Lepisosteus oculatus: one gene and its partner. The protein of the gene in region 2 interacts with the protein of the main gene of each other region in a biochemical or structural test. Links are inferred from orthologs where the notes say so. Each region holds a gene or a part of one and is shown on either strand. Other genes may lie near its edges. The genes, in order: arf3a and arfip1.

Region 1 (11,094 bases), about 3.3 Mb from region 2:
CCTCTCCCCCGACACGCCACCACCGACACGCCAGCCCTCTCCCCCGACACGACACCACCGACACGCCAGCCCTCTCCCCCGACACGACACCACCGACACGCCACCACCGACACGCCAGCCCTCTCCCCCGACACCGGGCACCACCGACACGCCAGCCCTCTCCCCCGACACGCCACCACCGACACGCCAGCCCTCTCCCCCGACACGCCACCACCGACACGCCAGCCCTCTCCCCCGACACGACACCACCGACACGCCAGCCCTCTCCCCCGACACGACACCACCGACACGCCACCACCGACACGCCAGCCCTCTCCCCCGACACCGGGCACCACCGACACGCCAGCCCTCTCCCCCGACACGCCACCACCGACACGCCAGCCCTCTCCCCCGACACCGGGCACCACCGACACGCCAGCCCTCTCCCCCAACACGCCACCACCGACACGCCAGCCCTCTCCCCCGACACGCCACCACCGACACGCCAGCCCTCTCCCCCGACACCGGGCACCACCGACACGCCACCACCGACACGCCAGCCCTCTCCCCCGACACCGGGCACCACCGACACGCCAGCCCTCTCCCCCGACACCGGGCACCACCGACACGCCAGCCCTCTCCCCCGACACGCCACCACCGACACGCCAGCCCTCTCCCCCGACACGCCACCACCGACACGCCAGCCCTCTCCCCTGACACGACACCACCGACACGCCAGCCCTCTCCCCCGACACGACACCACCGACACGCCAGCCCTCTCCCCCGACACCGGGCACCACCGACACGCCAGCCCTCTCCCCCGACACGCCACCACCGACACGCCAGCCCTCTCCCCCGACACGCCACCACCGACACGCCAGCCCTCTCCCCCGACACGACACCACCGACACGCCAGCCCTCTCCCCCGACACACCACCACCGACACGCCAGCCCTCTCCCCCGACACACCACCACCGACACGCCAGCCCTCTCCCCCGACACCAGGCACCACCGACACGCCAGCCCTCTCCCCCGACACGCCACCACCGACACGCCACCACCGACACGCCAGCCCTCTCCCCCGACACCGGGCACCACCGACACGCCAGCCCTCTCCCCCGACACGCCACCACCGACACGCCAGCCCTCTCCCCCGACACGCCAGCCCTCTCCCCCGACACGCCAGCCCTCTCCCCCGACACCGGGCACCACCGATGCGTCAGCACTGACACTGAGCACTGTAAATTGTCACCACACTGCAAACACCATGCACAGACTCTGCTCCCTTCAGGTGACAAGCCGAAGTCAATTCCTCGCTGCACAGTAAAAAGAAACCTTGGAACCTCTACTTATTCCCTTCAGCCCACGCAGTGACAGCTCCCAGCTCTAACCTTGCTGGATCACAGCTCATTTATCTGCACAGAGGTGGGCGCAACCGGTGCTACAATGGGTGAACAGCTCCACACTGCCAGCCCTGCCGGTCACCCACAATCCACCTTTTGTATTACGCCAGAAGCAAATACAAGCAGAATAATAAGGCTGAAGCGAGCTTCTAGGACTGAACAAAGCCTGAAAAACACATAACCACATGCTGAGGTCTACAGAGGAAGCCAACCCGGATAACAATCTGACGAGAGGGACTGTGGTTTACACCCAGGCAGGCTGGAAGTGGGTGAGAACAGCGTGCTGTACCAATGGTGGGGATGGTGGTGACGATCTCGCCGAGCTTCAGCTTGTACAGGATGGTCGTCTTGCCGGCCGCGTCCAGCCCCACCATCAGGATTCGCATCTCCTTCTTCCCAATCAGGCTCTTCAGCAGGTTCCCGAAAATATTCCCCATGGCGGCTGTCCTTCCCTCAGCAGGCGGTGCTGGTAGCAGTGGGCACTGGCAGCTCCTGGATGAGTGACTGGTTCACAGCGGCGCCTGGCTCGTCCAGTGGGATCGCAGACTTTGGGGGAGACAGAACCAGGCCAGTTAGAAAGAGCACTATCGCTGAATCTCACTCGTCTGCTGTGTGTATAATGACACGTCAAGTCTGGGCATAGATCTCTGCAGGGATTCAGAAATGACATGTGGCACTTAGTAACAGGATCCGGCAACACAGAACCAATCAGTCTCTGTCAAACAGACACTGATCGCCGGGCACTATGACTGTATTTTGCAACTTGTGAGTGGATCAAACTTTCAGTGTAGCACCAGGCCCTGAAGAGAACCGAGAGCTCTTGCCATCTACCGTATTAGAGGGCCTTATTTAGGGTCAGTCACTGCTGGGGGAGGGAGGCATCTCGTTTGCTCAACACGGTGCCCCCGTGTGCCCTCTCGGCTTCTGCCACCACGAGGGCCGGGTCCGGAGCCCGGAAGGAAGATTCCCAAGCCTCTCCCGGAACACCTCTTGGACCTCAGGGGAGCCCCCACCGCCCCCCCAGGGAGAACAGAGGGGATCGTCCCGCTGTCGGGGAGCGACCTGGATCCCGGACACTGGACCCCGAGGTGCAGGAGACACACTCAGCACCGCAGAGCTCTAGGGGAGACGTGGCTCTAGAAGAGTCCCTCTCGGAGAGGACAGAGTCCCAGCGCCGGGCTCCTCCGGGGGGGGCATGGCTGCAGGGGGCCTGTCTGGACTCCCCTTGAAGACGCAATGCCTGACCCTGCAGCAGGAACGAGTGAGGGCTACAGTGCAGCTCGCTGGGGACTTCCTGCTGGCTGACTGGCGCTGCTTGGCCCCACAGGGGTCCAGCTGGCTGTGCTGGACCGGCACAGGAACCAATTCGCAGTCTTACTGCACGTGCCTAACCTAGCAGGGCAGTGGCTGACATACGAGCACAAAGAAAAATACTAGCGCAGACAAATGGACCACCCTGCGATGTCCAGCCTGCTCCCCGGAACTGGACAGCTCTTACAAACGGCCGTTGCGTTTTCTGCCTGGAGTCAAACATCAATAACGGAGCCGGAGCTGGACATGAGGCCCCTGTTCCACAGCAGTGTTGTCCACTTCAGGTTCTTCACGGGGTCTGAACGGCCCTGCCTGTCACGGCACAGGTAGGCTCGGCGTCCCAGCATGCAACAGAGTTGGGTCACCTTTTCTTTAAAGGCACCCCGTACCAGTTCCAGCGGGAATGGAGCCCCCACTGTGGCATGCACTACCCACGGCCCCTACCCTCAGCCCCGTGCTTCTGTAAAACCAGAAACGGCCCCAAGTGCTCTTCGGCAGGAAGTGTACTTCCTGCCCCGCGGCCCCCCGAGCCGCGATGGCTCACCCATCAGAGGTCTCGCAGGCCCACACCCCGCCCTCTCACACCGGGGCTCGACTGGGCCACTCTGCGCTCCAGACACACCACCCCAGTCTTCACACCTTCCACCATACAAGGGAGAGTGAAGGCATTTTCAACTGGGTACTGACTGCTCCTGCCTCACACCCACTAGAAAGGGAGCACCGTCCCGTTGTTTTCTCTCACGCCACAACCGACACCCATCACCCTTATGTGCGAGCATCTGCGTCAGGCCCTGCGCCGGATGCGGGTCCAGCCGAAACAAGGCTGCGAAGATTTCATGAAGCGGGCGGGCAGGACGCCGAGGCGCCGTCCGTCTCCATTAGCGCAGCTTCACACCTCTCCAGACTGCGGGATTACTCAACACTTCCGGGCCGCGGATCGCCTAAACCTGTCCCCGGCTCCCGACTCCCCCGCTGGGAAAGTGAGGTGCGCCAAGCACAGGCTCCGAAAGCCCCTGTCACTTCAGGCTACACACGACCCCCCTGCTCGTCAGAACCTCCCGCCATGGAGACGGACGCCGCCGTTCGCCTCTGTTCTCCGCTGCCGTGCCCGAAGCGGCACCGTGAGGCGGGTGCGCCGTACCGCGCAGGTGGAGCGGCTCCCGGGCTCCGGGTCCCCGCCGTGCAGTGAACACGCGTGTGCACGGCCACGGGCTGGCAGCTGTGCGCCTTTGTCGCGTCTCCGTGAGCTCCGGCTGCGTTATTGTCTTACCGGGGGATAAATGAATGGTTTTCACACCTACCGCGTATGTCGCAGGCAAATGCACAACATATTTCTAATACGCGTGCAAAAAAAAATCTGGACCCTGGTATACCTGATATTATGAGAAGCAAATATTCTCCCGACCGCGTTCGTTTTTTTTTATTGTTATTTTCTTGAACTCCCTCCGCTCCCCTGCTCCTCTCTCGCCAGTCACGACACAGGATCAGTGAAAACCCTTCGCTCTTTTCCGTGTCACGACAACCGTCTCGGTTTTCGGACGCCGACGCAAAAAAGTTGGTAGTCTGAGGGTGCGGTCTGTTATTTTCTGTCCCTCGCTTTTGACAATATGGGCATATTTTTCGCTTTGTTTAATTCAATCCCTTTGCGCAGAGCCGCACTTACCTCCGACGGTGACAGCAGCCGAAATCAGGCAGGGAGACGCACTCTCGCGAGACTTGGACAGCCCTGTCGATTGGGAGAGGGAGGAGGCATGCCGAGATCTCGCGAGACTAGCAGCACGGACGACGACCGTCTTAATAATATTTATGAGAATAAAAGCTCTCATTTCGGTTCTTTAAGGCACGTATACATCAGTGCGCTCTGTGTGTGTCTGTTTTTGTTTGTGGTTTTCATCTTAGGAACAAAATTCCCTGCCTTGTTATCGCTGTCTGTTCCTCTAGTACCCATATGGCCTAGAAAATAAATCCCCTTTTTTCCCTGGAGCTAACACAAGAAAACCCGTTTAAAAATGTAAAAACCGCTCCCAACTATGGGCCACATGGCCACGAGTTAATTATTAATATAAAAAACTCCGGGTAAGGGCGAACACAGAAAACAGCTCAATCGCCTGACAGCGCTTTTTCCTGTCACGTGATGCCCCTCTGGGCTGTTCAGCAATACGGCTTCTACCGGCCGCCCCCGGCTGTCAGCACAGTGGTGTTCGGTGCGCTGTGATTGCTTTTTAGCGTAGCTCAACACATTGCTCTGTAGCTCACCGTGCTACAGCTATCAGGGTTTAGAGAATAATCAAAAAATGTTCGAACATATTTATTATTTGTTGCCGTGATAATGATGTGGTGAATAGTATATCATCTACAGTCAAAAACCGAAGTATCTGGAACAGTGAAGATAATTGAACATTTTTGCTGTGCGCTGATACAAATTTGTATTTCAGCTCAAATGTTAATATGAGGAAAACGTATAGAATTTCAGCTTTTATTTCTGGGCATTATTTTGCACACCTGTTTAGCCATGTTAGAATGCAGTCGTTTGTTGTGTTTAATCCCCTATTTCAGGTGAGTACCTGGACAAATTGCCTTCAAGCATATTCGCCCAGTGTAAAGAGTATTTGGATGCATACTCCTTACATACAATGGCTGCTTCAAGCCTGCGGTCCAACAGCACCACCCGAATGTTCATATGTTCCGCTGAGATGCTGAGCCCAGCCTTAACTGCATCTTCTTACAGTTCTTGCTTTTTGTGGGGTTTTCTGACTTTAGTTTCCTTTTTCAACTACTAAAATGTGTGCTCAATAGCATTCGGATCAGGAGACTGACTTGACCAGTTCCGAATTTCCCCCTTCTTCCTGATCGACTCCCTGGTTAAGCGTGCAGTAAGCTTTGACCTCTTGTGTGGCGGCAGGGTGAGGTTTTCTGTCATCAGCTGCTGCCGTCTTCTTCAAAAGAGGAGTCTTCTGCTTACTCGTCTGTGCAGCAGTTTACTTCTTTTTCAAGAGATTCCATAGTGTTGTATTGTAAACGGGTTTTGCAGTCTTAGACAACTCTGTAGTCCTCTGGGGTCTGGGTCTAAGTGGGTGGGTGGAGGATTTTAGAGGTGGAGTCCAGGAGTCCTACAGTTGTGCGGGCGAAGCTTTCTTTGAACCTAGAGGTCCAAGCTTTTATACTCCTATATCTTCTGCCAGGAGGAAGAAGAGAGAAACGTGCATTCCCAGGGCAGTATGATCCCTGATTGTATTATTCGCTGTTCTGGGGCAGTGTGTGGTGAGGCTGGTCTGGATGGAAGGGGGTTCTGCACCAGTGATGGCCATTTCCATTCATGAGCTGGGCAACTGCCATACCAGACTGCAATGCATCCAGTGAGAATGCATTCTATAATGCATCCGTAGACATTCCCGAGTGTACGTGAAGACATGCCGAATCTCCTGATTCTCCTGAGGCGCTGGTTTATGACTCTCCGCCCGTGAGATGGGACCAGGTCAGGCTGTTGGTGATGTGAACCTGAAGCTCCTGACCATCTCCACAGCGGCCCCATGGATGCAGACAGGGGCGCGGCCTCCTCCCTGCTTCCTGAAGTCAACAACCAGCTCCTGAGTTTTGGTGATGTTGAGGGAGAGGTTGTTGTCCTGGCACCATACTACCAGGTCCTCAACCTCTTTCCTGCTTATCTTTCTACAGAGATGAGTTGCTCTCGAGAGCTATCCCTATCTGTTTTGAACATATGTTGCTGAAGTGCTTGTAAATTATAAATATGCCTTATTATAAAAACTAGCATGCAAGATTAATTCTCTTAGTACTAGTACCAGAATCCCATGACAAAAATAACCTAGCGATGGCCTATTTTGTATTTCCTTAGAAATGCCCCAGTTCTCTCTAGAAACTTTTCGGTTAATTTCTTGGGGGTCAAGACAATGTATGTATAAAATAAAAGACTTGTATTGCCATTTCAGTGCAATTGATTGATTTTATTGCCCTGGTGAGTTTAATTAAAATATTGTTCTCTGTGTTGGTAAGCGGATCTTTTGTACTCTGACACCTTGCAGTTATTGGCCTGTCTCTAATATAATGCTGTGCTATACAGAACAAAGTGACAGTGTTCTGTCTGCTGCATGCTGATTATTCCCAGTTCACTGTCTGTCACTGTGGCAGGATAGAGGTCATAAACCCTATTTTGCCTCAAGACAGTACTATAAATTGTTTTTGAGAATCAAAAATTGTTTGAAAACTTTAGGTTGTATTGAAAATGGCAGTTCTATGAAATTATAACATTGCGAGTGGCGCAGTGGTCAGCATTGCTACCTTGCAGTTGTGGGGTCCTGGGTTCAGTTCCTGGGGTGCTGTCTGTGTGGAGTTTGCATGCTCTCCCCATGTTTGTGTGGGTTTCCTCCAGGTGCTCCGCTTTCTGCCCACAGTCCAAAGACATGCTGGTGGGTTAATTGGCTTCTGGGAAAACTGGGTGGTGCAAGTGTGTGTTTGTGTCTGTCTGCCCTACAACGGACTGGCGTCCTGCCCAGGATGTACCCTGCCTTGCACCTATGGCTTGCTGGGACAGACTCCTGCAACCCTGTATTGGAAGAAGGGGTTGGAAAATGGGTGGATTGCAATTGCAAATTACAATTCAACAAAAACATACCATTGTCACACATTGAATTATAGCAAAGTTATAAGAAAACTTTGAGACGAAGGCTGGACCCTCATCTCGCACACTTCCGCTCGCCTGTGTACATTAGTCTCGTACCTAGGGGCACTCCCATAGTGCATCTCTCTCGTACTCCTCCCACCACCCCTGCAGCAGCTCCCTGGCTCAATCCTCGTGATCTGAGAGGGGTCTGAGCAGCCCGGTCCTTCTGATGAGACTGCTTATAGGGCCTTGCAAAAGTATTCACCCCCCTTGGACTTTTTTACATTTTATTGAGTTACAGCATGGAACCGTGATGTATTTAACTGATACATTTTGCCACTCATCAACACAAAGTACTCTATAATGTCAAAGTGAAAAAAGAAATCCAGTTAAATAGGTCATAGTTCCATGCTGTAACACAATAAACTGTGAAAAAGTCCAAGGGGGGGTGAATACTTTTGCAAGGTGCTGTATTTCCTCAACCAGGTGAGCTGCATACAGTATACCCTCTCTCTCATGTTTGTTAGGATTTAAACAAACTGCTGCAGATCAGACCCAGCACAACCTGTGAATAATTATTTTGGTAATTTAATAATTTTCAAGACACAGGATTTATAAAAAAATGTCTTCACAGTGGAGCTGGAACTTAAGAAACAAGATCCTCCTTATTGTTCCTTTACTGTCTCAAGACTTCCCCTTTCTTGTCCCTCTCTCTGGAAACTGAGTCCATTCCACCCTCTTCGATATTGTCTGACTGTATGTTGCGGTGAGTTTACTGTACACATAAGCTGGCTTCTCACCTTTCAGTCTGGCCAGATCTCAGAAGCGAAGCGAGGTCAGTACTGGCAGGAGAGACTGAGGAAACCAGATGGCTAATGCTATGGAAGCTGTTGGTGAACCAGAAGGGGGCACTGTTTCACCAAAACCAGAATTTCTAAATCAATACCCCAGTGTGACGGCCAGGGACACTGTGCTGTAAGAAGTACCTTCCTTCAGATGAGACATTAAACAAAGGTCTATTTGGATTATTAAAGATCCAATGACACTGTCAGAGCAGGTGTGTTAACACCAGTGACCTCCCTTCACCCCCTGGAGCAGCAGTGTCTCTCTCCTGCCCTGAGCTGCTGTGCAGTGGGGCTGCAGTGTGTCTCCCAGGAGGGGCTGCTCTTCACTGGGGAGGAGCTGGGTCCCCTCCTGTGTGTGAAGAGCTTTGACATCCTTTGGAAACAAAAGTAATTTAGGCGTCCAGCCCTCAGCCTAACCCTATTCCTCACACAAACCCGAGCACGAGGCCGTGAGACCTTGCTGTGTGTGAGCTCTCTATTTCTGCTGAGCTCTCCGGACTCCAGGACTGCGTTCGTGGTGAATCAGCCCCTACAGGAGCTCAGATGAGCCGCCCCCCCACATTCCCCAGCTGCTCGTCCGCTTTCGAGACTAAGTGGCTCCATCTGCAGGCCTTGGCCTCCCTCTCGTCCCTGGGCTTCTCTCTCTGCGTGACTCACCGGCCATGCAGGTTCTCTCTCTCTCTCTCCCTCCGCCCGGGAGTCACATTCCCTTCATCCGGCCTGACAGGAGTCCCATTCCATCCAGCTGCCACCCCCACCCGCCCCTCCACCGTCCCAGCCAGCCCACATCACAGGGCAGCAGCCCCGGATGACAGCGGTGCAGTGACAGATCTCCAAATGGGACGTCTTCCTGCGGAAAGCCACTTAAAACACGGTCTGGAACTCATTTACTGGGCCGGCTGCAGCGGGAGCTGCTTCAGGAACAACAGACTGCTGAGTCCCTCTCTCTCCCTCTGTGACTCCTGGACAGCCTCTGTCTCTCAGCCTCCATCGCTCCCTCACTCATTGTCCTCTTTCTCTCTCTGCACCCTGAATCATCCATTGCTCTCCTGCCCCTGCGCTCTGTGCCCTCCATCGCTCTCCTGTCCCTGCTCTCTCTGTGCCCTCCATCGCTTTCCTGCCCCTGCTCTCTGTGCCCTCCATCGCTCTCCTGCCCCTGCTCTCTGTGCCCTCCATCGCTCTCCTGTCCCTGCTCTCTGTGCCCTCCATCGCTCTCCTGCCCCTGCTCTCTCTGTGCCCTCCATCGCTTTCCTGCCCCTGCTCTCTGTGCCCTCCATTGCTCTCCTGCCCCTGCTCTCTGTGCCCTCCATCGCTCCTGCCCCTGCTCTCTGTGCCCTCCATCGCTCTCCTGCCCCTGCTCTCTGTGCCCTCCATCACTCCTGCCCCTGCTCTCTGTGCCCTCCATCGCTCTCCTGCCCCTGCTCTCTGTGCCCTCCATCGCTTTCCTGCCCCTGCTCTCTGTGCCCTCCATTGCTCTCCTGCCCCTGCTCTCTGTGCCCTCCATCGCTCTCCTGCCCCTGCTCTCTGTGCCCTCCATCACTCCTGCCCCTGCTCTCTGTGCCCTCCATCGCTCTCCTGCCCCTGCTCTCTCTGTGCCCTCCATCGCTTTCCTGCCCCTGCTCTCTGTGCCCTCCATTGCTCTCCTGCCCCTGCTCTCTGTGCCCTCCATCGCTCTCCTGCCCCTGCTCTCTGTGCCCTCCATCGCTCTCCTGCCCCTGCTCTCTGTGCCCTCCATCGCTCTCCTGCCCCTGCTCTCTGTGCCCTCCATCTCTCCTACCCCTGCTCTCTGTGCCCTCCATCGCTCTCCTGCCCCTGCTCTCTGTGCCCTCTATCGCTCTCCTGCCCCTGCTCTCTGTGCCCTCCATTGCTCTCCTGCCCCTGCTCTCTGTGCCCTCCATTGCTCTCATGCCCCTGCTCTCTGTGCCCTCCATCGCTCCTGCCCCTGCTCTCTGTGCCCTCTATCGCTCTCCTGCCCCTGCTCTCTGTGTGCCCTCCATCGCTCCTGCCCCTGCTCTTTGCCCTCCATCGCTCTCCTGCCCCTCCTCTGTATCCTCCATCGATCTCCTGCCCCTGCTCTTTGCCCTCCATCGCTCTCCTGCCCCTGCTCTGTATCCTCCATCGCTCTCCTGCCCCTGCTCTGTGCCCATGCAGGGCTGTGTGTGTGGGAGCTGAGGCAGGGTGTGGGGGGCAGACGTGGGCCTCTGGGAAGGTGCGGAGCAGAGCTGGGGCCAGAGGGCTGACCGGGAGCAAGAGAGCGCCGTGTTTGGGCCTTGGGGGAGGAAGGAGGGGGGTGCTGGGGTGGTTTCTAATTGAAAGAAGCCCTGCTCTGAAGTCACTGCCAAGCTGCGCCCCAGTGATGCAGAAACACGAGCCTGTGGTTTCAAGCTGCAGAACTAATGAGGGCTTCCATGTTGGGAAGAGAGCTTTGATGTTCTGGGTAGCTAGCTGCTAGCAATCTCCCTCTCTCCCACATCACTGGGGAGATGGGGAGAGGGACAGAAAATTGTGGGGAGGGAGGGGGGGGGGGTGGAGAAGGCAGGGAGGTGGCTGTGAGCAGATGTTTCCAGCTGTTTGTTTGTACAGATGTTGTTTCATGTTTTGTGTTTGTGCAATTTTTTTTTTCTCCCACTTCTCCGTTCTTTCTGCCAGGAGCTGGCGGATCGCGACGCCCTGCGTGTCACACGAGTCCGGAGCGCGCCAGAGCGCCTCGCCGTCTGTCTGGCCAAGAGGGACGGGAGCCGCACAAATCTCTCTTCCCCTCTGCCCTGTTCTCCCTTTCCTCTCACCTTCTCCCTGCCTCTGCGCCCCCCCCCTCCCCCTCTCGGCGCAGGGTCTGGTCCTCATTAGGCGCTGTGCGCGAGCGAGCGTGCGCAGGCGGCAGTGACACAGCAGTCCGCCGCGAGCCCGCGCGGCCTGTGTGACACAAGTTACAGGAAAT
Region 2 (12,009 bases):
GAAAAAAAAAGAAATATAAAGGCATTGCTGCCTTTCAGGCTATGAATTCAATGTACAATATGTGGGGCCATTGTTATCACTGGGCTCCACATATTGTACAAAAAAATTAAATGAACTATAACTGTAGGCATTCTAATTTAGTGAATAAAGTGATGATTTGTAAAGAACTGCTTGTTGGAAATAAAACCAACATAAAAATTAATTCTACACATCTAGAAGGTGAAGAAATCAGTCATATTTAACAGAAAAAACTTTGTGAGGTACAGGAAAGCTGCACTTTTGCCTCATAACCTTTGCCTAATAACCACAAGAATTCAAAACAAACCCAGGTTAAACATCTCGTGGTCTGTCATTTGCTCAGAAGAAATTTCAAACTCTTTAACCAAGCCCAGAGTAAGACCAACAATTCTGTTCAAACAGCCTTTAAAAAACAAAGGAAGATTCCTACCTGGTTATAAATGAAAAGGTTTTTGTAAAAAGAGGAACCATCAGCTCTGCTATACAGGAAAATGTTCATTGAAATGAATTGTTCTAGTACATACCAGTTCCAGCTAGCCCTGCAATTAGCAACAACAGCAGAGGTAAGGCCATTTCCCAGTCTTTTCGTTGCTTTTTGCCTTGATCATAAGAAGACATAATGCCATTGTGCCCTGATTTCTTCACTTGAGATCATGACATTCTGTATTTCCTGTTTCCTGACTGAGTTTTCTTACCTAAGGTTCTGACTAAAACAGGGTAATTTCTGTCGGATGTGATGCAATCAGCTAAGAGCTTGTAGCCACAAGCCTGGTTGCTGTTTTGCTTGCTGAAAAGTAAATTCCTCCACCTAAGGTATGCAGACTTGCCAGAAGCCCTAACTTCCCAGGAAATAGGGAACGGTGAGGTTTTTGCATTTTCTTTACATCGTTTTACCAGGGATTCAATATTATTCACTGTTAGATACCTTGTTAACTGGAAAATTCTTCATAACGCATGCAGTCTGCTCTTAACTGCTGCTTTAACGGGGCATACTTTTGATCTTATCAATAACATGAAGAAACCACCACTGTTCAGTTTTGAAAACAATACAATACAAATGCACTACATTAAAATGGATATTGAAGAATAGCTTTGTATTAGGTAGGTCAATCATTTCAGCAGGAAAGGTAAAGCCTATGATAATAATTTTACGACAGGGCAATCAGATGTAGAAAACCATGTTTGGCTGACAGGCAGAGGAATCCAAACCCTTGATCCCAGTCAAGCCTCGGGGAATGACTAAAGCTGAAGGAGATAGCCGAACCAGATCAGAGTATGAAGGCAGGTAGAGATAGCTGAACAGCAGTGGCACACAGGTTAATCTGAGACCGAGAGCTACTGCAGCTGAAGGGGCTGAGCAGGTCCCGGTGGCTGTGCCGACACTCAGGGCTGTCTGGCAGGAGCTACGGTTCTTTGTCACTGGTCCGGTGCTTGGCTGGCCGACAGACAGAGCGGGTTTGAGACGAACAAATACTCGGGCTGAAGTCGGGCTTGTTGTCCTTCTTGGAAGCAGGCTTGTTGTGCAGCAGGCACTACCCTATCCAGATGGCAGCTCAATGACAGAGCACTGGACTACAGGCAGATCAAGGTTGTCTTGGACTGATGGAATAATCACCCTTTAATTGATGGCGGGTGGTTATGACAAGCAGCCCGAGTGAGACCTCACAGCTCTGGGAGTCTCGTGGGAATGCGGCTGGTTTCCGTGGAGACCGAGGACGATGAGCTGTGGCTTGCCCGGACATAACAAACAACATCTTTCCCTATAATATATTTTAATCGGTTATTAAGTCCTGAGAAAATTGTTTTAATGATACTTTAGCACATGAACTCTCACCTTTTATAAGACTTTTAACTGTTAAATTGGTAGCGTGCCCAGACATTAATATGGAAAAATACAATATCAAGACTGGTTCTTGGGATTTATTTTCCTTTGCTTCATTTTTAATTTTGAGACCTAATATTATGGTACCATTATTTTTTTTTAGAACTTCATTTGCAGTCATATTTATGAGCTCAGGATTAGTCTAGGATAGTCATGTCCTTCATCTTGGAAAATAAGTCTGTTAAACCTAAACCTGGGGAAAAGACAACTGACTGAATTATGATACAATAATGACTCACTGAACACTAATTCTGACTGGTTGCAGGTTAGCCCAGGACATGCTCTTCCTTATTTAGAAATCTATTCTGCTACACTACCTTCATTCTTTTTATTGGTATTTTGACTTTCTTTGTTTTTCAAGTTGCATTGTTGAGCTAGTGAGTGTTGAGTGCTGGTACTGCATTCATTATTCATTATTAAACTGTAGTTAGTTTTATGGATGGATGATCTATTTCACAAGAAATATTGGTTTACTATAGTATTTAGTTTAAAGATGGCTATAATATAATGCAGATTGGTCAGAGGGTGGGGTAAAAAGGGGATCAGAGAGCAGCATCTTTATAATAGAAGCAAAGGACTGAACAGAGTGAACAGAACCTTTGAAGAGATAGTGCACTGTAATTGCTATATCAGACATCTTGCCTTGTCCATGTAAGATGTCTAGGTGTAAGATGAGACTGTGATGGGAATGTTGTTCCCCAGGAGCATACAGGCTCTCCACAGCAAGCAACTAGCCTAAGAGAATCCAGGGTATAGCCATACAATGCATTAACTTATGCTGAGTTTCATCTTGGTTGTTTGTCATAAACCTTATCTAGAAACAAAATCTTTTGAAGATTAAGTTTAGATGTATCAAGCTTTATCCTGGATTTAGGGTTTTCTCAAAACATAAGGGGCAGGTATTAAAACAGGCCTTCACTTGATTAATTATAAAATCTATAATACATAAGAATAATAAATAGTGTTGTAAGGATTCTTCCAGATATAACACACAGAACATTCTGAACCAAAACACGAACTCTTTTCTGAAGTCTGTCTCATTGCCTCCATCTTGTGGCACAAATGTGTTCTACAAGCACTGTCATGTTTCCTCCTATTTCACTGCAGTTGTAGCTGTAGCTGTGACGTGTTCAATAACGGCTATTGCCAGTGTAGAGCTAAAGGTAGAGCAATCCAGGAAATTAAGTTTAAGGAGGAAATAAGTTTAACTAATACTGGTTTTACTTTCATGTGTAATTTTCTTTGGTACCTTAGTTTTTAAGGTCATCAGTGGATTTAAGTGGAAATAATAATAATTGCTTACACTTATACTGTATAGTGCTTTTCTGGACAATCCACTCAAAGTGCTTTATAGGTAATGGGGACTCCCCTCCACCACCACCAATGTGCAGCATCCACCTGGATGATGCAATGGCAGCCATTGTGCGCCAGAACACTCACCACACATCAGCTATCAGTGGGGAGGAGAGCAGAGTAATGAAGCCAATTCAAGATGGGGATTATTAGGAGGCCATGACTGGGCCAATGGGAAATTTGGCCAAGATGCTGGGGTTACACCCCTACTCTTTTCGAGAAACGCCCTGGGATTTTTAATGACCACAGAGAGTCAGTAAGGACGGCGCCTGTTTACAGTATAGTGTCCCTGTCACTATACTGGGGCATTAGGACCCACATGGACCACAGGGTGAGCGCCCCCTGCTGGCCCCACTAACACCTCTTCCAGCAGCAACCTTAATAATAATACCTCAAGCACAAAGTAGCAAATTCACTTCTTGCTGTTACATAAACATTGGTTTAATTAAAGATTATTCTGAGCATTGGCTGACAGGTAGCACACTAATCAACATACCTGTCCTTCTTTGTAAAAGCAGCATCCCATTTCCTGTCTCGACCATGTCCCAATGCATTCGATTCAAGCACTTTGTTCACCATTCTCTTATAGATCATCTGATCGACCAATGCTACAAGGTTTCAAAGAAGCAGACAGCTGAGACTTGAGTGTGAATTTAAAGGGATTTTTTTACATTTACAGCAACTTAAACAAAGAAGACTTTACAAAAGTAAACAAGTCATTATTAGATGACAGTGAGTGAATTTGAAACACAGCAGGTTTTCTGATACAATGCTGAGCTGTAAAAAAAGAAATGACATGTATAATTTAGATCTTGAAATATACTGAGAACACAGCACTGCCTGATCCTGCATGGCTCGCTTAATAATGGTCTGCTTAGCTAAATCTTGCAGCAACTGTTTGGAGACAGGGGTGACACCCATTGGCAGGAATACAGCCCCATCAATGCAGATGGCGTCTAAATGGAGTTAGTTTCTATTAATTATTTAAGGCTATGGAAACAATAATTAGAACTTAACTAGAGGATAATCTGTATGGCAAGTGACATAAGGTTTTCCCATACACCCAGTGGCATGTTTTTTCAAGTTATGTTTAAGTGCTTCATCTAAAATGGAGCGTTCATTTTCATGTATTCTGAAAACTTTCTTATGATGTAAAATAAACTCCACATAGAGCATGCTCAATAATTACCAGTTTTCTTCCTTTTGAAAACAGGAAACAAATTATTTGACAGTATTTGTCAATGGCAGTGAGAACACATACTGTAAAAGTCACTTACATTAGTTGTGCATCTTACTGTACAACTTTGTATAAGTCTTCATATAATCTGTCATTCTGAGTGAAGTTTAATTTATATTCAGTTGCCTTTTATTACACTTGCCTTCCAGCCGACATATCAAGTGTAATCCATTGACAACACTGTAGGGATTACTGGAGATTACTACATGTCCTGTACAACTTTTTGTCAACTGAAATAGGTCAGCTGATTTGTTAATTTTTTTGTCATTTTGACAAATATTAAATATTGGAAACTATTTAAATACTTAAATATTTCAGATGATACGAGACTTCTGAATTCCTCTGCTTTCTTTGATTGTGTACAATGTCAGTTAATGTCATTTTTTAGCAGTTAGATTAAACTATGTAATATGGAGATCCATGTGTTTCAAATAATTCGTTATGTGTTTACCACACACTAGATCATTGTAAAGAAGACTATTTGAAGTAATTTTGCTAAACCTCTTGCAAACTCTCCAAGATGCATTTTCAGGGCAATTAAGCCCTGAAATACTTTATGAATATCTCAAGTGATTTCTGTACACTGCACCAGTTCACATTATTGTAAATCCACCGGACAAAACAAAATAATTAAGCCTAATTTTATTCCTTATTGGATTAGACACGGGCAGGAAATTTAAAACAGTTACATAAAGAAGTAAATTAAAAATGGGATCGGCATTATTGTCATTATTGGTATGCAACTAAAATCCTGCAGATGTTACATCAGGAATGCACGTTCTCTGTTGTTGTCTTTGGCTATTGTTTCCACGCCTGCTGTTTCATTCTGTGGCTTGAATTTGGCCTTTTTTTTAACTAGATGAAAATGTTTGCTCAATCACACTTCTCCAGCTCAGGTGTAACATATCTGCTACCTCCAACGGTGATAAAGTGAACTCCTTGTTTTTCTCCACACACTCAATAAACCGCTTGATCAGCAGCTGGAGCCTGTAGTTTATGGTAAAGCTTTTAATGGTTCCATGCTTCATTGGGTGCTCATTAGCTGTCATAGAAAAAGGGAAAGGCGAGAGCTCAATGAACTGGAGATATGCGGGGTACACAGGGCATTGGCTAACAAAGCTATCTGTTGCTTTTGAGCATTAAATCTTCTATCCAATTTACAAAGACATTTTTCACACTTCTTGGGTCAGGCATCCTGTGCTGGTTGACCTGTAATCCACTGGTAGTGACCCGATGTTTTTAAGGTCTTTATTTGTACCAACTAATAACAAAGGAAGCTTTTCCAACCCATCCATATCGTGGCTAAGGATCTGCGCCAGTGGCTGGAAGGTTTCTGGTTCAAATACTACAATCCTACTCTGTTGGGCCCCTGAGTAAGGCCCTTAACCCCAGCTGCTCCAGCGGTGCTGTACAATGGCTGACCCTGCACTCTGACCCCAGGCTTCTCTCTCCCTATGTGTGTGTATGCAAGAAATTGTATAGGGCTAATAAAGTGATCTTATCTAATGAAAAAAAATTCATATCGACTGCTACCATCAGCATTAAAGGCAGCAGTACTCGAAGTTTAACATCTGATACAGCAACTTTGTCTCACCAACATTAAACACATCTTGCTTGATATTCATTCAAATAATAGGGCAGCACAGTCTGCTACCAAACTGTTGAAGTGCCTGCAGATGATAAAAGACATTCCACAGATTGAGAGTGAAAAGACCATATTGTGACATCAAATAATCTAGCCAGCCAATACTGCACCCTGAAATCATCCTAGGTTCTAACTAAAATCATTTAGTCTGACCCAAAGCATGGGTCCCTTAACTGGTACATACACCATGATTTCTGGAATGATTGACAAGCATTCAAGATCTTTTTTTGTACATGGATGAGTGTTTTGTTTTTTATTTCATAACTGGTACCATCTTGTTTGCTTTATTTTACAAGCTACAGCACTTAAGTTTACTTTCACCTCAATAAAGAGGCTCTTCTCATTCCATGTTGCAGTTATTGGGGACTGACAGTCCTGAACTTCTGCTATAATATGGGGTGAAGTGGTGGCTCTGTGGGTAAGGATCTCCACCTGTGGCTGCGAGGTTGCTGGCTCAGGGGTGCTGTAAAATGGCTGACTCTGTGCTCTGACCTCAGGCTCTCTCCCTATCTGTGTGTCTCATGGAGAGCAAGCTGGAGGTATGCAAAAAGACAAATTCCTAATGCAAGAAATTGTATAGGGCTAATAAAGTGATGTTATGTTATATATTCAGGGATGGACACTGGTTTTATTTGGTTCTGGATTATCAAATTTCAAAAAGTCAAAAATGAGTTGGTTCGTCTCTGTTCCAGTTCCATTTCCTTCACAGAAGATAGTTTCTATATTGTTTAGCTTGAAACAGGCAACAATTGATAGCCGTGTTATTTATATATATATAAAATATACAAAATACATAAAGACCGACCAAACATTAACACTATCTCGATGCTCTTTTGAACTGATCATGGGAGGGTTACTGTGTTCAGAGCTTAAAAAAAAATACTTGTCTCCTGTCTCTTAAGGTGACCCATCTTTTAAAACAACGAATTCAAAGCTGAAACGTCCACTTTAATTTTGCATTTACATTTACATAATAACCCGCAACCGTGCTTTCCTTATCCAACGACAAAGGGGGTATTTAGGAAGACATTTGTCCGGTTGTTTTTACACGCTCCTTCAAGCGTGCAGAAAATAAATTAAATAAAATATTTCCACAATGAACAGAAATACATCGATACTGATAAATAAAATAATTTTCAACGTTGGCTATTTTACAGTTACTTTTGCAATGACGGCAAAAAAAAAACTACAGTACTACGTTCGCGAAAGGAAGTTCTTGTACATACTGTATACGCAACCGCAAAGCGTGCCCGCAGTGCAATTAAGGGATACCCAAGCTGCGCCCCTTCAGCTCGAGAAAGAGCCCGGATGTTGTTGCCCTTTCTTGTTCTTCTCGCCTGGAAACCGTCTCCTTCCGGGTCTCTGCGACTCCACTGTGTGAGTGTGTGCGCGCGGGGGGGGTGATCCAATGGGTGCTGCAAAACGCTGCTAGTGCTAACACTGTAATTTAACACAGCAGGGCAACGGCATCGCCAAGACGAAAACCCGCCGCCACCCCATTTGCAGGAACAGTAGAGCCCCGGAAGACAATAGCAGGTAAGAGTTTCTTTGCTTGTTCTAGTAGGAGGGCGAAACGTTTTTTTGTTGTTGTTGAAGATACGGTTTATTTTCCCTACAGCGGTAAGCTAGTCGCGACCATAGGTGTTGGTGTCGCAGGGGGGTGTGTGGGAAGTGGTGCCAGTGGCGGAGGCACAAAAAGTTGAGAGAGAACGGCTCAGTTTGGTTGCTAGTGTAGACGAAGGAACAAGTGGAGCCCTGTTTTTGTGATCGGCTTCACGAGGGACTTGCAAGTTTGCTTCTGTGGCTGTGGATCAAGTTGCGTGCTGTGGGCGACGTCGAGGATTAGGCTGACGTCTTGTACGATTCCCCAGAGCGGTGGAGTTATTGACAGAGCCGTCTATAAACGTTAGCCTTGCTTGTGTAATTCTGAACAAATCTTCACTTCCCCTTTCTAAAGACGTTACCCTTAAAAATCAAAGTGTAGTGTTACTTGCTTTGTGAAGCCTTAAATGAGTTCGAGTAGAATTTCTCAGGAAGTATTGGATTTCGGTATTAGACCCAGGGCTCAAAGGAAAAAACCATTAGAGTAGCCTGGCATTATTAGAAATCACTTGAAACTAGAGGAGCATACTGTACATATAAACCTAACGTACGTTTTAAAGTTGATGCTGTGTTATGAAGGAGTTGTTGGGAGTTTTAAGAGTTGTAGTTGGCTTGTGTAACTACCGTTTACGTGTCTCTCACATCCAGATGGAGCCGTTGATGCGCTTCCTTCTGCATTCTTAAAGGAGCCGTGTTGCATCAGTACTGTGTAGTAAACTGTAATTCTGATGCCTTAGATTCTTAGTTACAATTTATTTTCTTGTATGACCAACGTCATTTTTATTTGCTCTTCCGATTACAATTGTCAGAGGTATGCTTGGTATCGTCTAACACCTTCGCTTCCTGATTTTCTGTCTTCCTCATTTGTTCATCGTTTGCCTAGTTTTATTTTAACATTTCAGTATCTGGTAGAAGCGTGAACATAAAGACCTAAGTTATTATAGACATGACAGTCACTGTACTGTGTATTTAAAATTAGCCAGTTTTTTCTCATGATGAAGTATCCTATCATCAGTGTTCTCATTCATTGTGCTGATTCCTTTATCACATCATTTACAGATAAAACATTATTTAAAGGAAAACATCAGTACAAGTAAACTATTTAAATCGCACTGTGTATGAGTAACATTGATGTATGCATGTTACATGGATAAACAAATGCAGCATGGAATAACAAGAAGTACAGTGTAAAACAGTATCATGTACTGCATGACCATAGGTGTGCAGTAAAACAATATTACTGTTATAGAGTAAAAACATAGGAAAAGTTACAATTGGCTCATCTTTGGTCGATAGTGTAATATTCCTGAGTCTTCATCATTCCAGTTTCTTGAAATATCTTAATCTGCGTTGACAACATGGTTGGGAAGTTCAAGTCACTGTTAACCCTTTTTTGTGAAAAGCTCCCACCTCTTTGCAGTTCAAATGTACACCCTCTTAGTTTTACTGGTGTCTTCAAGTTCTTAACCTGTCCTGTTTACTTTGCTAGTCAGTACCTTTTAAATATCAAAAGACTTGTATCATGCCAGAACAAGAAGTAATAGTTGTAAAGCTGGAAAAGACTGTAAAATTTAGAATTTCAAGTGAACAGGCGAGGTTTGATGGTGCACCACAAGGTGATTGAGCATTGAGCTTCTATCACGAGTCAGAATTTCAACCACAGTAAGGTAAGGGAGGAGGGAAATACGGAACTCAAGAGCAAACAGGACCAGAGTGTTGGCAGAGATAGGAACAAACGGAGTAAGAGTATGATGGGATATGAGAAGAGACAAGACTATCCAAACCTAGGTTGCTAAAAACAAAATGGACCCTTTTTGAGACGTTACTCCTGGAAGGCCAATAAATATAGTCTTCCATGTAATTGTTCTTTTCACTGTTTCCTCTTTAAATATAAGATAAAGCTAAGAACTGTGGCTGAATTTCCAGCCGGGATGTTTGTATTTCATCAGAAAAAGAACAAATATGATATATGTAGTTCAGGTGGGTAGCTGCGTCAGCATGCAAAGGCTGCAAAGGAACAAGTAATAGGTTTATTCCGTGCTGAAAAGAGAAGAAAGAAAACACAACGATTTGGCCATGGAGCCTTCTTCGGGTGTAAGCCTTCTTCAGCTCACACCTGAAGAAGGCTCCATGGCCGAAATCTTATTTGTGCTGCAAGTAGGACTAACGGTGTTCTCAAATGTTGATTTCAGTTTTAAATGCAGGTGCATTCATAGGAAAATAGGAACAAAACAATCTGGTCAGTTAGTAAACAGTTACCAACAAACTGAAATTTTGTAAAGACAGTGGTCTCCAGCTTAGTCTTAGAAATCTCTGGCAGCATGGTAGCATTGAAGACATAGACCTGTTGAAATTTGATCAGTTAGGCAAGTGATTAAGTAAATTCAGTAATTTAGAGTTCACTCAGAGCAAATAGTTGTCAGCCAGTTCCCTTCATTGAGCAGATGATAAAAAGTCTATAATTGTTTTGTTTGGTTTTGTCATGCCTTGTATGTTGTGTGTTACTTGGGCAGTTTTCCAATTTTCTAGTCAGTGGGTACTCCTGTGTTGAGGTCTAGAAGTGGCATCTTCTTTCCTGATAGTCAGTAGAAGTGTCATTTACTTAACATGTAAATTAAGTCCTCAGAAAATAGACATTTTCCTTTCAAATTTTAAAAGGCTCCTATTGTCTCTTGTGACAGTTTACTTCATCCTTTACTGTTCTTTTGCTGTTGTAGAACAAAACAACTTTTCATTAAAAAAAAAACATTGCAATATTTGTTCTAATCATGCAAAGCTTGCAATTTGTTGTTCTGCATTTCTTCAAATGAAGAACAGATTTCCGTCCATCTGTTTTCGAACAGTTTTTCCAGTTCAGGGTTGTGGGGGCGCTGGAGCCCATCTCAGCAGGCAGCAGACTCAAGGCATCGCACATCCTGGACAGGACGCTAGTCAATCACAGGGCACACAGACACGCACACACTCACATCTGGCGACAGTTTTCTCAGAAGCCACTTAACCTATCAGTATGACTTTGGACTGTAGGTGAAAACTGTAGGTGGAGCACCCAGGGGCAACCAACACAAACTCAGGGAGAGCATACAAACTCCACACAGATAGCACCTCAAGACCAGAATTGAACCCAGAGCCCCAGAGATGCTACCCACTGTGCCACTGTGCTGCCAAGAACAGATTTCTTTCTCCCTAAAGTTTTGTTAATGATATATTAAACAGCTTGGACTACTGCTTTATAGCATTTGATGTAGTTAATTGTGGGCTGAAGATAAGATGAACTTGTATTGTCCCCTAAGGGAAAATTTTATGGACACTTAGCTCTTCTGTACATCTAAATACATCACAAAACATTACACATTACATTTATTACACATCCAGAACCTGTGACAGTGTGGTCGTGACATATTACATGAACATAGTTTATTACAACTTAATTGGCTTATACTGACACAGTTGCAATTACCCTTGCCATTTTTTTTGTATTAATTGCTTTAATAGGTAAGGGAACAAATGAATATTTGTATCTATTTGATCCACAAGATGTTTGCTCTGTGCTTCAAGCAGTATATCTTTAAAGTGCTGCCATCTTTTTTCTACCGATTCCATCTCACCACGTTTTCAAGGTACACAATTTGTCCTATTATGATCATAGTTGCTTGATTATTTTCTGACCTCTGTTTTCTTGACCCTATTTTATTTATTTGAAAAGACTAAATATTCATATTGATTTAATCTTATAGTTTTTTTTAAACCTAATGATTTTGATATCTTGTTAAAATGAAATGGAGCTTTGTTTTGTTGAGCATAGCATTGTGGTGTAACCAGACTTTATTTTTATCCAAGCATATCTTACACGGATTAGTGCCCAGAGTAGTGGAGAACAGTTGTGAGTATTCTACAGCCAGGGTGCTACGCTCTCCTGTTCTGATCAGCTGTTATGCATGTGGTTGGATATGAGAATCCATAGTCAGCTTTTTTCCCCAAGGGAAAGATTGCCAGTGTAGTGTGAAACACTGGCCTTGGGGCCCATCATTAGGATGTAAACGTTGATAACATTTGTGTTTGTTATCAGCGGCATCATCATTTCATTATTTTCAGTAGTTAACCTTTCTTAGTAGTAATATTTTACAGGTGTTGTCAGTAGAGCCTTTTACTGAATTATTTTATTTATCTTCTACTTCAGTGGGCACTTTTTTAGTATTCATTCTGTATTTCTCTATTAGTTCTGTACCTGCTGTGCATTTCCTACTGACTGATGACTAGGCTGATGTTCTGTTT

Evidence for each region.
Region 1: the proteins of arfip1 (region 2) and arf3a form a complex in vitro, tested with the Homo sapiens proteins (2 studies listed by BioGRID). The link is inferred for Lepisosteus oculatus from reciprocal best matches to the Homo sapiens genes ARFIP1 and ARF3.

Annotation. Positions count from the first base shown.
Region 1 is NC_090696.1:21,837,934-21,849,027, reverse strand, and holds the start of arf3a (ADP-ribosylation factor 3a), read right to left. Parts: upstream 4,466-11,094; 5' UTR 4,357-4,465; intron 4,333-4,356; exon of another isoform or gene 4,067-4,332; intron 2,340-4,066; exon of another isoform or gene 2,214-2,339; intron 1,929-2,213; 5' UTR 1,820-1,928; coding exon 1,672-1,819; intron 1-1,671.
Region 2 is NC_090696.1:25,107,296-25,119,304, reverse strand, and holds the start of arfip1 (arfaptin-1), read left to right. Parts: upstream 1-7,493; 5' UTR 7,494-7,512; intron 7,513-7,518; exon of another isoform or gene 7,519-7,591; 5' UTR 7,592-7,671; intron 7,672-12,009. Other genes in the region: tmem154 (transmembrane protein 154), read right to left, coding at 543-636. UniProt on the Homo sapiens protein: Plays a role in controlling biogenesis of secretory granules at the trans-Golgi network. Mechanistically, binds ARF-GTP at the neck of a growing secretory granule precursor and forms a protective scaffold.